Linked DNA regions of Macaca mulatta. The protein of the gene in region 2 binds, or shares a complex with, the protein of the main gene of each other region. Links are inferred from orthologs where the notes say so. Each region holds a gene or a part of one and is shown on either strand. Other genes may lie near its edges.

Region 1 (6,006 bases), on a different chromosome or scaffold from region 2:
ATGGCGTGAACCCGGGAGGTGGAGCTTGCAGTGAGCCGAGATCGCACCACTGCACTCCAGCCTGGGCGACACAGCGAGACTCAGTCTCAAAAAAAAAAAAAAAAAAAAAACAAAAATTACGCGGATCATGAGGTCAGGAGATCGAGACCATCCTGGCTAACACGGTGAAAACTGAAAACCCGTCTCTACTAAAAATACAAAAAATTAGCCGGGCATGGTGGCGGGCGCCTGTAGTCCCAGCTACAGGCTGGGACTGAGGCAGAATGGCATGAACCCAGGAGGCGGAGCCTGCAGTGAGCCGAGATCGTGCCACTGTACTCTGGCCTTGGCAACAGAGTGAGACTCTGTCTCAAAATAAATAAATAAAATAAAAATACAAATATTAGCCAGGCGTGGTGGTGTGTGCCTCTAATCCCAGCTACATGGGAGGCTGAGGCAGGAGAGTCACTTGAACCCAGGAGGCGGAAGTTGCAGTGAGCTGAGACCACGCCACGGGCAACAAAAGCGAAACTCCATCTCAAAAAAAAAAAAAAGAAAGAAAGAAAAATTAGCCAGGCATGGTGGCGCATCCTGTAGTCCCAGCTACTCGGAAAGCTGAGGCAGGAGAATCACATGAACCTGGGAGGCGGATGTTGCAGTGAGCTGAGATCATTCCGCTGCACTCTAGCCTGGGTGACAGCTAGACTCTGTCTCAAAAAAAAAAAAAAAAAAAACATTCTGTGAGTAGACTTCATTCCTCCCAAAGCAAATCTGAAGCTATAACCCATGAAAAGAATTGCAACCCATTAAGCTACTAATTAAAACTGGTACCTAACAGCAAGTTCGAGTGTAAGTTTCGCAGGCATGTCAGCATGTTTTCTGTGTAATGTTTTAAAATTAATTTCAGCTAAAACATGAGGAATAATCATTTTGCTTTTTGAGCCTGATGTTAAAAATTTCCTTTTAATGTTAGGGAAATATTTTTTAAATTAGACAATTCATATCAATTCATAAACTGAAATAAGATGTTATTCTGAACTCTTAATTATGTAGCCTTTAACTATTTTATTTTAAATCCAAGACAGAGCTTCCCAGCACCATAATGAACGTCAGAAGGAAAGCCCAGTGCCTGCACTTAGCATGGTTCAGTCAAACCACAAAACAATCTTTATCAAAGATGTTCACTTTGGGTTCCAAATTACTTAAGACATGTCAGTATTGGGCATTATTGGAATTTAAATAAAAAACACTTTTCAAGTGACTTGGGAAGGAGGAAAGGAAAGATCGCTGCTGCTTAATACATTTTATTCAGGTCTGTCATTACACTTGCGTGAGTAATCACGGGTGAGGTTTTATTTGCAGGAAGAGAAGGTCTTCCAGAAGAAGTTCTTGCAGGGCGTTCTGTCCCGGCGTGCGGATTGCTGGGGGGGTGCGCCTTCCTGCCGCCTGGCCACCTCCCTGGCTTCCTCTCCTATGAGGGGCCCGGCACTGGCCTGGGAGGTCCACTCAAACCACCAAGCGAGGAAAGTCAGGAGGCTGCTTTTCCTTATTCCTGCCGCTTCCTGCATATGCTTTTAAAGAGAAGCAGATGGCAAAGGAAAGAAAACTCAGCAATCTGGCTCAGGCAGCAGGCATTCGAAGATATGCAATCTCCTCACAAAAAAAAAAAAAAAAAAAAAAAGATCTACTAGAAGACTACCCTGGAGAAAAGAGAAAGAAAATATTAAAAATAAATAAATAAAAAGAAAAAAATGAAAAGATACTCCACAGCAATAAGCCTCGTTTCCACTTAAAGGATGAGGATGAGAAAGTGAAGCGAACGAACGCCTTAAATAAATTGCTCTAATTAGAGAACAGGAAAAGTTGGTCATTTTAAGTCAAGGAAAAAAACCTGGTGGTTTTGCTCCACACTCTTTGCTAAGGTCCTTAATTAGGAGACGTCAGGAAATCTGCCATTTTCCCCCCAGTGACTGGCGGCTGAGAAGCCCCAAGGTGGATCAGGCTAATTTATTCATTCTCCCACCTTTGGCCACACTCCTGGATGTCCACAAGTTGCTTTCTGAGACGATGGGACTGAAACGTTGAATTCTGGTTTTTCAAATTCCTTAGAAAGCTTCTGGGAGTAATCTGCTGATAAATGGCCTGCCTGAAACTCATCTGATAATTTTAGAGAAAAATCCATTTTTAATGCTCAACTTTATATACTCTTTCTTGGAACTTTCTCAAAATGGAAAAAAGAACAATCAATCACCTCATGAAGTAACAAATTCTCACGACGGAAAATGTCATGATGCCAGTTACTCTGAGCCAGTGGGAGCCTGCGCTGGGTGTAACTGAAGGCTCTGGAAGGGCTGTCGCAGCTCCACGCCTGCCCTGCAGTGGACCGGTACACTCGCTTCCCCTTTCCCAGACACCCGATGGAGGGAGCCCTGGCATGAAGGGTCCTCCTTGAGCTGCACAGGTTTCCAGCAGGCTTCATGGGTTGGGACATGTAACTGAGGATCAGTGATCTGAATGTAACATCCCAGTACCTCAAGCCAGCCAAGATCACTACAAAGCTCAGCCCTGTGTCCTGTCCAAGCTGTGAACTGCAACATACGTGCACACACACACTCACCATGCAGGCCAAAAAGCCAACAAGAGACAGAGAGTGGGCTAGCGTATGGCCACGTCGGGACTGTACTCACCTCGCTGTCTGGGCCAGTGGGGCTGCCCTCCAGGGGCAGGGCGGCGGTGGCCGTGGCCCCAGAGAGCAGCAGGAGCAGGAGGCCGGGGGGCAACGGCATCTTGTGGGCTGACGGGAGCTTCTCTCACACCCTGCTGCTGCTCTTCCTTCCTGGCAGCCCTGAAATCAATGTTTTGGGAACGTGGGTCTCTTCTTTGGAGCTTGGTGGGTATTTTAAGCCCAATCTCCAGCTGTTTTTTGTGTCTGTACATGTCTAACGCCTGGATCCTCTTCCCTCACGCAGTGACGCAGAAGCTGGAGCAATCAGTGCCCACAAAAGCGCTTTAGGATTGGCTCTAACTCCTTAATTAAAGCTTCAGGTCTTTTCCTGTGTTTAGAGCGAATTTGCTCTTATTTTGGAACGCATGTGCGCTCGCTGCTGGAGAAGTTCTGCTTCCTCGTAATTATGCCTATAGTAGGCAGGAAGCCGTGAGAACAAAAACAAGTGATTTAACATAATATAAAATTAGCCTTGGATAAGGAGCTTGAATGTGAAATTGTGCCCATGTGAAAGTATGACTGAAACTCATCCAGTAATTTCAAAGACATTCTTCTACTACGGGCAGAGAAACAAGGAGGCAGTGGGAGCTCAGAGATGCTACGATAGTATCCGCTGGTTTCACCAAATTGTTGGCAAGGAGGCCCCAAGAATCGCTCCCAGTACTGCCTCTCAGCCCAGCAGGCCAGACCCACCGTCCTCTAGGCCAGGCCTTCTCAAACTGAAGTGCAGACGATCGCTTTGCAGGCAGGTCCTGATGCGCTGGGGCAGGGAGGAGTTGAGAGCTGCATTTCCAACAAGCACCCAGGTACTGCTGGCCCCAGGGCAGCCGCGCTCTGGCCCACTCGGCCTGGGGTGCAATGGCACACCCAGCTCACTGCATCCTCTGCCTCCTGGGTTCAAGCGATTCTCCTGCCTCAGCCTCCCAAGTAGCTGGGATTTCAGGCACCCACCACCATGCCTGGCTAATTTTTGTATTTTTAGTAGGGACAGGTTTTCACCATGTTGGCCAGGCTGGTCTCGAACTCCTGATCATCCAGTGTTTTCTTTTTTTTGAGATGGAGTCTCGCTCTTATTGCCCAGGCTGGAGTGCAATGGTGTGATCTCGGCTCACCGCAACCTCTGCCTCTCGGGTTCAAGTGATTCTCCTGCCTCAGCCTCCTGAGTAACTGGGATTACAGGCATGTGCCACCATGCCTAGCTAATTTTGTATTTTTAGTAGAGACAGAGTTTCACCACGTTAGCCAGGCTGGTCTCGATCTCCTGACCTCGTGATCCGCCCACCTCGGCCTCCCAAAGTGCTGGGATTACAGGCGTGAGCCACCGCGCCCGGCCCGGTCCAGTGTTTTCTAAACTGCTCCTGACCACCGCTTGTGGGTCACAGGCCAGTACTTTCCTTTAGAATGAAATTGAAATTAGTGTGCATCACCCGTAGTGAGGATAAATAATGATTCACATTGTGTGTGTCGGGTGTGAGACGTATTGTTACTGCAGGGCACAGTCACAGTTTGGGAAGCAATGCCCGGCCCTGCCCTCAGCCACCTCCCAGGGCTCTCTGTCCTCCCAAGGCTGGCGCCACTGCTGAGAGTGCAGACCGTGGAGTCCCTCCCTGTGCTACCTGCTGGCTCTCCCGCACAGGCCCTCATGGCTGAATCACACAGACAAATGCACAGACCCCTTCACCCAACTGGACACCGAGTAAAATCTGGAACATCCACCCAAACCTACTAGAGATGACCAACATCCAAAGCAAGGCTGTAAATTGAAGTAACACAACCCAAAACTGATGGCACTTTCTAGAAGTGAACATATTTGTTTTCAGTTTTCCAGAGTCCTGGTTTACACCTTCACGGGGGAAATCTCAATCTTGAATTTGTCACAGTCTTTTTGCTTATGTTAAAATCCTAGGTAAGATCAGCATGGCCTGCTGGCCAGAGACTTATATGTCGTATGTTGCTTCATCTGTTATTTCTGTACCAAAATTCCTATAAATGACACTAAAAATCGAGTTATACTTGCAGATGAGACATTCACAGCAGTTCAGCCAGCTTCTTTTTGTTTTTGAGACAGAGTCTCGCTCTGTCACCCAGGCTGGAGTGCAGTGGCACAACTTCAGCTCACTGCAACCTCCACCTCCCAGGTTCAAGGGATTCTCCTGTCTCAGCCTCCTGAGTAGCTGGGATTACAGGCACGAGCCACCACACCCAGCTAATTTTTGTATTTTTAGTATTTTTAATAGAGATTTCACCATGTTGGCCATGCTGGTCTCAAACTTCTGAACTCAAGTGATCCACCCATCTCAGCCTCCCAAAGTGCTGGGATTACAGGCATGAGGCCACCACACCCGACCTCACCAACTTCCTATATCGTTAGTCTAGTGTGCCAATTTTATTCCATGAGCTCATTAAACATTCTGAGCACCCAGCATGGAACTTGCAATACCACAAGGGACCCATGCCACCCACACCCCGACAGAGGTGTTGCAGCCTAAAAGAAATAGGATACATGGACACAAATGAAAGACAAGGACATTTTTCAGTGCGATAAGAAGTGTGCAAAGAAGGGGAATGTGCTGCAAATTGGGGAAGACGTCATGAGAACTGATGACTGTTTCAAGAAGGTGGCAAACTTTGGGAGGTGGAGATGAGAGGATCACTTAAGCCCAGGAGTTCAAGACCAGACTGGGCAACATAGCAAGACCCCATCTCCACCAAAAAACAAAATTTAGCAAGGCATGGCAATGCACACCTGTAGTCCTGACTACTTGGGAGGCTGAGGCGGGAGGATTGCTTGAGCCCAGGAGTTCAAGACCAGCCTGGGCAACATGGCAAAACCCCATCTCTACAGAAATTAGCTGGACGTGGAGACGCACACCCGTGGTCCCAGCTACTTGGGGGGCTGAGGTAGGAGGATCATCTGAGCATAGGAGGTCAAGGCTGCAGTGAGCCAAGATTGTACCACTGCACTACAGCATGGGTGATAGAATGAGACTTTATGACAAAAAAGAAAAAAGAAAAACTCAGCCCGGTGTGGTAACACACACCTGCAGTCTCAGGCACTTGGGAGGCTGAGGCAGGAGGATTGACTGAGCCCAGGAATTCACAGCTGCAGTGAGCTGTGATCTCGCCACTGTACAGAGCAAGAGCCCATCTCAGAAAAGAAAAGGCCAGGTGCAGAGACTCATGCCTATAATCTCAGCACTTTGGGAGGCTGAGGCAGGAGGATCACTTGAGTCCAGCCCAGGAGTTTGAGACCAGCCTGGGCAACATTCTGAGACCCTATCTCTACAAAAAAAAAAAAACTA
Region 2 (6,078 bases):
CCTCTCTGGCCATCAGTCCCGCAGGAGGTCACTGGGGGAGGGGTCACAGCCAGGATCCAGACCCCGTGTGATGCCAAAGGCCGTGGGCGTTCCTGCACAGGAGCAGCTGCTGACTCGTCCAGAGACGGAGGAAGCCAGGAGCCAAACCCCTGTCGGCTCCAGTGGGGACGGCACCAGTCTCATGAGGCCAGAGGAGACCCAGTGCCAGGATCCAGACATGGGGTCCTATCGGAGGCTACACACGGGGGAGAGGGTCCAGCGGCAGCAGTCGGGGCAGGAGAACTACAATCAGTGCAAAAACCACAATCACAACCACTGCAAAACCACAAACATCTCAAAAACCACAACCACTGCAAAACCCACAATCACAACTACCGCAAAAACCACAACCACCACAAAACCACAACCACTGCAAAAACCACAACCACTGCAAGAAGCACGCCTATCCTACAGCGTTTTCACTTAGCACCCTCGCCCACAACCTCCACCCACAGCCTCCATCCTCCCCCAACAACCTCCACCCACAGCCTCCATCCTCCCTCAACAACCTCCACCCACAGCCTCCATTGAACCCAAAACAAAGGGTCTCAATCCTCAGCATTGCCCGGGTTCCACAGGACAGCCAGGGTTCAGATGTTCCTCATAGAGAGGACTTGGGTCTCCGGTTGGCTCCTCCCAGATTCCCTCGCTGGGAACCCCAACCACCTTCAGGTGTGTCTGCCGCAGAGGCACCCCCAGGTGCACCTCAGTTACTGCCGTCAGGAGCGTTCACCAGGTGTGGTGGTCTCTCCTTGCACTGCTGGAAAATACCCGCGACCAGGCGCGGTGGCTGACGCCTGTGATCCCAGCACTGTGGGAAGCCGGGGTAGGGAGGATCATGAAGTCAGGAGTTCAAGACCAGCCTGGCCAACATGGTAAAACCCCATCTCTACTAAAAATATAAAAATTAGCAGGTGTGGTGGCGGATGCCTGTAATCCCAGCTACTTGGGAGGCTGAGGCAGGAGAATCGCTTCAACCCGGGAGGCAGAGGGTGCACTGAGCAGAGATCGCGCCACTGCACTCCAGCCTGGGCGACAGAGCGAGACGCTGTCCACTCCCACCCCCCACGAAAAAAAAAATACCCGAGACTGGGTAATTTATAGAGAAAAGAGTTTAATTGGCTCAGGCTTTGCGGGCTGTACGGAAAACATAGCTGCTTCTGTCTCTGGAGAGGCTCCAGGAAGCTTCCAAATCTGCTGGAAGGCAGAAGCCGGAGCAGGCGTCTCACATGGCAAGAGCAGGAACCAGAGACAGAGCAGTGCCGGACACATTTAAACGGCCACTCACCACCTCGAGGAGAGCACCAGGAGGGATGGGGCCAAGCCATTCACGAGAAATCCCCCCCTGATACCCAGTCACTCCCCACCAGGCCCCAGCACCACACTGCAGACTCCATTTCCACACGAGGTTTGGGTAGGGATGCAGAGCCACACGGAGCGGGTGTGGGGGGTGCTCAGGGACCACACGCCCCACGGTGGACGCTGCATCCAGGGGCCAGGGTGTCTGGGAAGAGGCTGGGAGCCAGCGTGGCTGTGGCCCCTCCATCCAGGCATCACAGACCAGGGCTGGCAGGTTTTGGGGCGTGTCCACCTCCACCACCCTGATTCCCAGGTCCTGTTCCAGGGAAACATGCAGAGGAAATGGCTGGAGAGCGAAGTCCAGACACGGGGGCCATGAGAGCCGGACACCACGCAGCTGCAGACCCCGACCCTGACCCAAATTGCATGTGGCTGAGGACCCCCAAGCCAGACGCCACGCGGCCGCGGACCCCAACCCAGACAGACCCCGACCCACCCGTGCTGCCGCCAGCCCCAGAAGTCAAACCACAGCGTCCCCCCAGCACCGTCCGGGCTCCCGCAGGTACAGCAGCTTCCTGAGGCGGCCCCACCTGCAACTCCGGACCAATCAGAGAAGGCCAAGTGGGCCCCCCAAGCCCAGCCGTGGGACCCCCGATCTAGAGGGCCCTTCCCCGCCCCGGGCCAGCAGCCACGCTCGGGCTCCGCATCAAGTCCGCCAAATGCAGGGGCGAGGGCCGACCCCGCTACAGGAGCCAAGCGCAGGAAACAGCCGGTGCAGCGTGCGCTCGGGCGGCCCATCTCCATCCGGACCCGCCGCTGCGGCCGCAGGTTCACGCCATTCCGCGGACACGTCTCCGGCGCCTCCAGCCCCTCAGAAACCCGGGGTTTCTATGGCAAAGGTCCTGGTGGGAATCGCACCACCTGCCGTTCCTGCCTCCGCGGTGGATTCGCTGCGTTAAACTGCCCCCCGCTCTTCATCCCCCAACCCCCGGCAGCCTCCGACCCTCCCTCCCCCGGCGGCGCAGCGCAGCCTTTTGCAGGCGCCAAGCTGGAATCCGACCGCGCAGCCTTCGCACCGGGGCGCGCTTCAGGCCCCCCACGCCTCTCCCAGGCTTCATCACCCAGTTCTCTCTGGCGCCGGAGGAAACCCCCAGCTGCTTCTCCACTCACCACTGAAGCGCGTCTCGGCTGCCCCCAGCCCCGTGCCCTCCTGAGAACACTGCAGGCCGCAACCCCACGGCCCACCCCCGACCTGCACTCACCGTGCGGGGCCTGTGGAGCCTCCACCCTTTGGAGGAAGGACGTGTCAAAGCTTGGAGGTGCGCGGCCTGTCTCACCTCCGCCCCAGGCCGGGCATGGCGCGCCGCAGGGTCTCAGCTGGGATCAGCCTGGCCCCAAAGGATTTATCGTTGAAAGCGCTGGTCCCAGAACCCAAGGGGAAGACGTGCTGGTTTTCTGACGAGCTGGGCCACCTCCTCTAGGAAGCCCTCCTCCTTGCAGCTCTGTGGCCGTCGTAGGCTTGCAAGAGTCAAAGGGCCCGGCCCATAGCGGCTCTTGGCACTGGGCCGGACAGTGTCCTGCCCCCAAAATTCATGTCCACCCAGAACCTCCGAATGCAACTTTCCTTGGAAATAGGGGCTTTGCAGATGTAATTAAGGATCTTGGGGTGAGGTTACCCTGGATTGAGGCTGGGTCCCAAGTCTGTCACTGGTGTTCCTCCGTGAAGAGCAGAGCAGAGCAGAGCAGAGGCACAGAGCAGGCCCTGTGAAGACAGAGGCAGGGCCTGGAGCGTCGGCCGCAGCAGGGGTGTGGAGCCCCCAGAGCTTGAAGGGGAGGGAAGGATCCTCCCAGGGCCTCCAGAGGGAGAGTGCTGGGCGCTGCCCACACCTTGTTTCTGGACTTGTGGCGTCCGGAACTGGGAGAGAATAAATTTCTGGTGGTGTAAGCCTGCGTTACGGCAGCCCCAGGACGCTAAAATAGTTCAGCCCGTGCAGGCTCCTCCCTCCCTTTCTCTCTGTTGTTGTATTTTTTAGACAGGATCTCTCTCACCTGTCGCTGGAATGCCGTGGCAGGATCATGGCTTGCTGCAGCCTCTAACGCCTGGGCTCACGCGATCCTCCCACCTCAGCCCCCCGAGTAGCTGGGACTACAGGTGCCATCAGACCTGGCTAATTTTAAAAAATATTTTTAGAGATGGAGGTCTCCCTGTGTGGCCCAGGCTGGCCTTGAACTCTTGGGCTCAAGTGATCCTCTCGCCTTGGCCTCCCAAAGTGTCAGGATGGCAGGCTTGAGCCATCGCGCCTGGCAGTTCCATCTCTGATGACTCCTGAAGCCCTTCATCTTGGCTAATCCAGACAGGCTTGCTGGGGGCCCCTCTCCCCTTGGAGACTTTGGGATGCGGCTGGACGTCCACGTGGCCGGGGTCCTCCACAGCCCCCAGCTTCCCAGGGCAGGAGGCAGGCTATGTCCTCGGTGAGCGTCGAGAGCGAGGCTGAGATGTTTGCCCTTCACGTTTCCACATTTAGGGGCGTTTTGTTGTTGACTCATTCAAAGCTCTTTTAAGTTGCTTAATTTGCTGCTCAGAGGGAAATGAAAAAGGAGCCATTTTCCCTGATTTGTTCGCCTCAGTCAACTTTTAAATCAATAAAAAAGTGCATTTTGCTCATCGGATGCAAATAGGTACATCTTTCCTAATACATTGAGATTGAGTGATTCATCAGCCATTTCATTTCATTTGGAAGCTGAAAGCCTAAGGGCATTTGGAGAGAATTCCTCTCACTCAGAAGAGTCGGTAATAAGTCAGCATGAATGCGCAGGTGGGGCGTGGCTCTGCCTTGGCGGAGAAACACGGCGCTGGGTGACGTACGGAAACCGGGACCTGAGGCAAGTGAAGGCTGTGGCCCTGACGGCGGCTCAGCTGTGACCAGTGCCCACCAGGGTCTGTCCTCCCCCAGAGGCCACACCCCCACAGACGCAAACCCGGGGCCCCTGCCAGGCTGGACCCCAGATGCCTCACCAGGGATCCAGGTGGGGGACTTGAATGAGGTGCAAACTCCTCGTCAAAGGACTAGCACCTCCCCATCCGGGCAGCCGCTGCCTCCCCTCGCAGTTCTAGCCGCCGCCGCCTGGTGTGGGGGGGTCACGTTTGGCGCTGTGAGCTTTGGGGGTCCGAAGTCTGCCAGCCCCAAGGACAGCACGATGCCCCCCAGGCGTCCAGGCCAGCAACAGGCAACCCCTGCCCGCCCCGTCCACCTCCCTGGGCTCCTTTCCCCTCAGACGCGGCCAGTGTGTGTGCTTCGGGGGGTGGGGTCTCTGCTCCTGGCCACCCCATTGCACCCCCTTCCCCTACTGACCCCCTCACACGCTCAGCACTTCCCTTCTCTGGCATCAGGCGGGGAGGAACCAGCTAGGCCCCAGGGTCAGCCCTGCCCCCAGCACCTCCCACGGCCACAGCGGTGCTGCAGGATCCAATGCACTGGAGCCCAGGGCCGCTCATGCAATCAAGCGCCAATTTCCCGGGACCCACACGGCAGAGGCTGGCGAGGGCAGGGAAGCCACGCGCAGGCCCTCGAAGCAGATGCTGCCTGCCCCTGACCGTGCCTGAGGCCACTTCCTACAACCCCTGTGACTCTGGCCGTCTCTGACCACAGGAGGCCTGGCCTGGGCGTGGGAACAGCCGGGAGTCTGGGGAGTCAATGCCCCGGGGCACAGCCACCACAGCCCAGCCACTTCCCTATGGTAGGGACAGCTCCAGAGTGCTGCGGCCTGGGGCTCCGGGGGACGGAGTGCATCTGCCCACAGCGGTGACCTGCTTACTACTGCCCACTGGCACCCACCCTTTCACTTCATAGCACCCCCTCGATGACGGGTGTTTCCTGGGGCCACCCCCAAACTCTCTGCCTGAAGATCCTTGCCTCTGAGCCTTCCAGGGGCACCCAACAGAGACCCGGTCACCTCGCTGCCCCACGAGGACTGTCACACCACTGGGTGCTGACCTCCACACTCAGGCCACAGAGGCCACAGACACGTCCCCTTGGTCCCACGGCCAGGCCCTGGGAGGGACGTGGTGGACGCCAACACGATTGCTGCGGCCGTTCCTAGCCTGGGATCAGCTCTGGGCCCGGCCGGCCCCAAGTCACCTCTTAGCCACACACGTGGGGCCACAGCCTCTGAAAGCGTGATCAGTGTTGGTCCCGATTCAATCAGCACCCACGGGGTGACCAGAGGCCCCGAGAGCCCAGCATTGGGTGCCAGGAAGGGTGTGAGGCCTCAAGGAGCCAGGGCTGGAGCTGCAGCCGGGACCACCCCGTCAGCCACAGCAAGGACGGCAGGCAGCGGGTGCAGCTCCCCCACCTAAGCACCATCCCAGACCCGTTTACCCCATGGCAGGGGCCGGTGGGGAAACTGCGGCCCGGAGGTCGGGAGGCCTGTCCGCAGTCACCACCTGTGTGAGTCTGCCGGGGCTGCCATAACAAAGAGCCACGAACTGGGACCTAAAGCCACAGAAACGCAGCTCCTGCAGCCCTGGGGCCGCAAGCCTGAGATCAAGGAGTCCATGGGGCCACACCCTCTGAAGCCTCCAGGGGAGGGCCGTTCCGCCCTGCACTGCCAGCCACCTGTGGTGTTCCTGGGCTCACCGCTGCCTCTCTCCAGTCTCTGCCTCCGACGTCACGCGGCCGACTTCGCCCTGTTGTCAGCGGCCTCCTTATAGGGTGCGGGTCATTGCCTTTGGGACCCACC

What was found.
Region 1: the proteins of SSTR5 (region 2) and CORT are in contact, whole or in part, in a cryo-EM structure (PDB 8X8L), measured with the Homo sapiens proteins. The link is inferred for Macaca mulatta from reciprocal best matches to the Homo sapiens genes SSTR5 and CORT. Residues at the interface, in NP_001044.1 of Homo sapiens: Tyr89, Leu96, Gln99, Asn100, Ser103, Asp119, Gln123, Glu182, Thr185, Cys186, Asn187, Ala188, Trp190, Gly198, Phe201, Ile202, Thr205, Phe264, Phe265, Asn268, Asn271, Glu279, Ala283, Tyr286, Phe287, Val290, Tyr294; in NP_001293.3 of Homo sapiens: Cys93, Arg94, Phe96, Phe97, Trp98, Lys99, Thr100, Phe101, Ser102, Ser103.

What each region holds. Positions count from the first base shown.
Region 1 is NC_133406.1:230,285,986-230,291,991, forward strand, and holds CORT (cortistatin), read right to left. Parts: upstream 2,854-6,006; 5' UTR 2,766-2,853; coding exon 2,667-2,765; intron 1,551-2,666; coding exon 1,332-1,550; 3' UTR 1,268-1,331; downstream 1-1,267. UniProt on the Homo sapiens protein: Binds to all human somatostatin receptor (SSTR) subtypes. It also inhibits cAMP production induced by forskolin through SSTRs.
Region 2 is NC_133425.1:2,256,576-2,262,653, reverse strand, and holds the start of SSTR5 (somatostatin receptor type 5), read right to left. Parts: upstream 3,304-6,078; 5' UTR 2,601-3,303; exon of another isoform or gene 1,761-2,600; intron 1-1,760.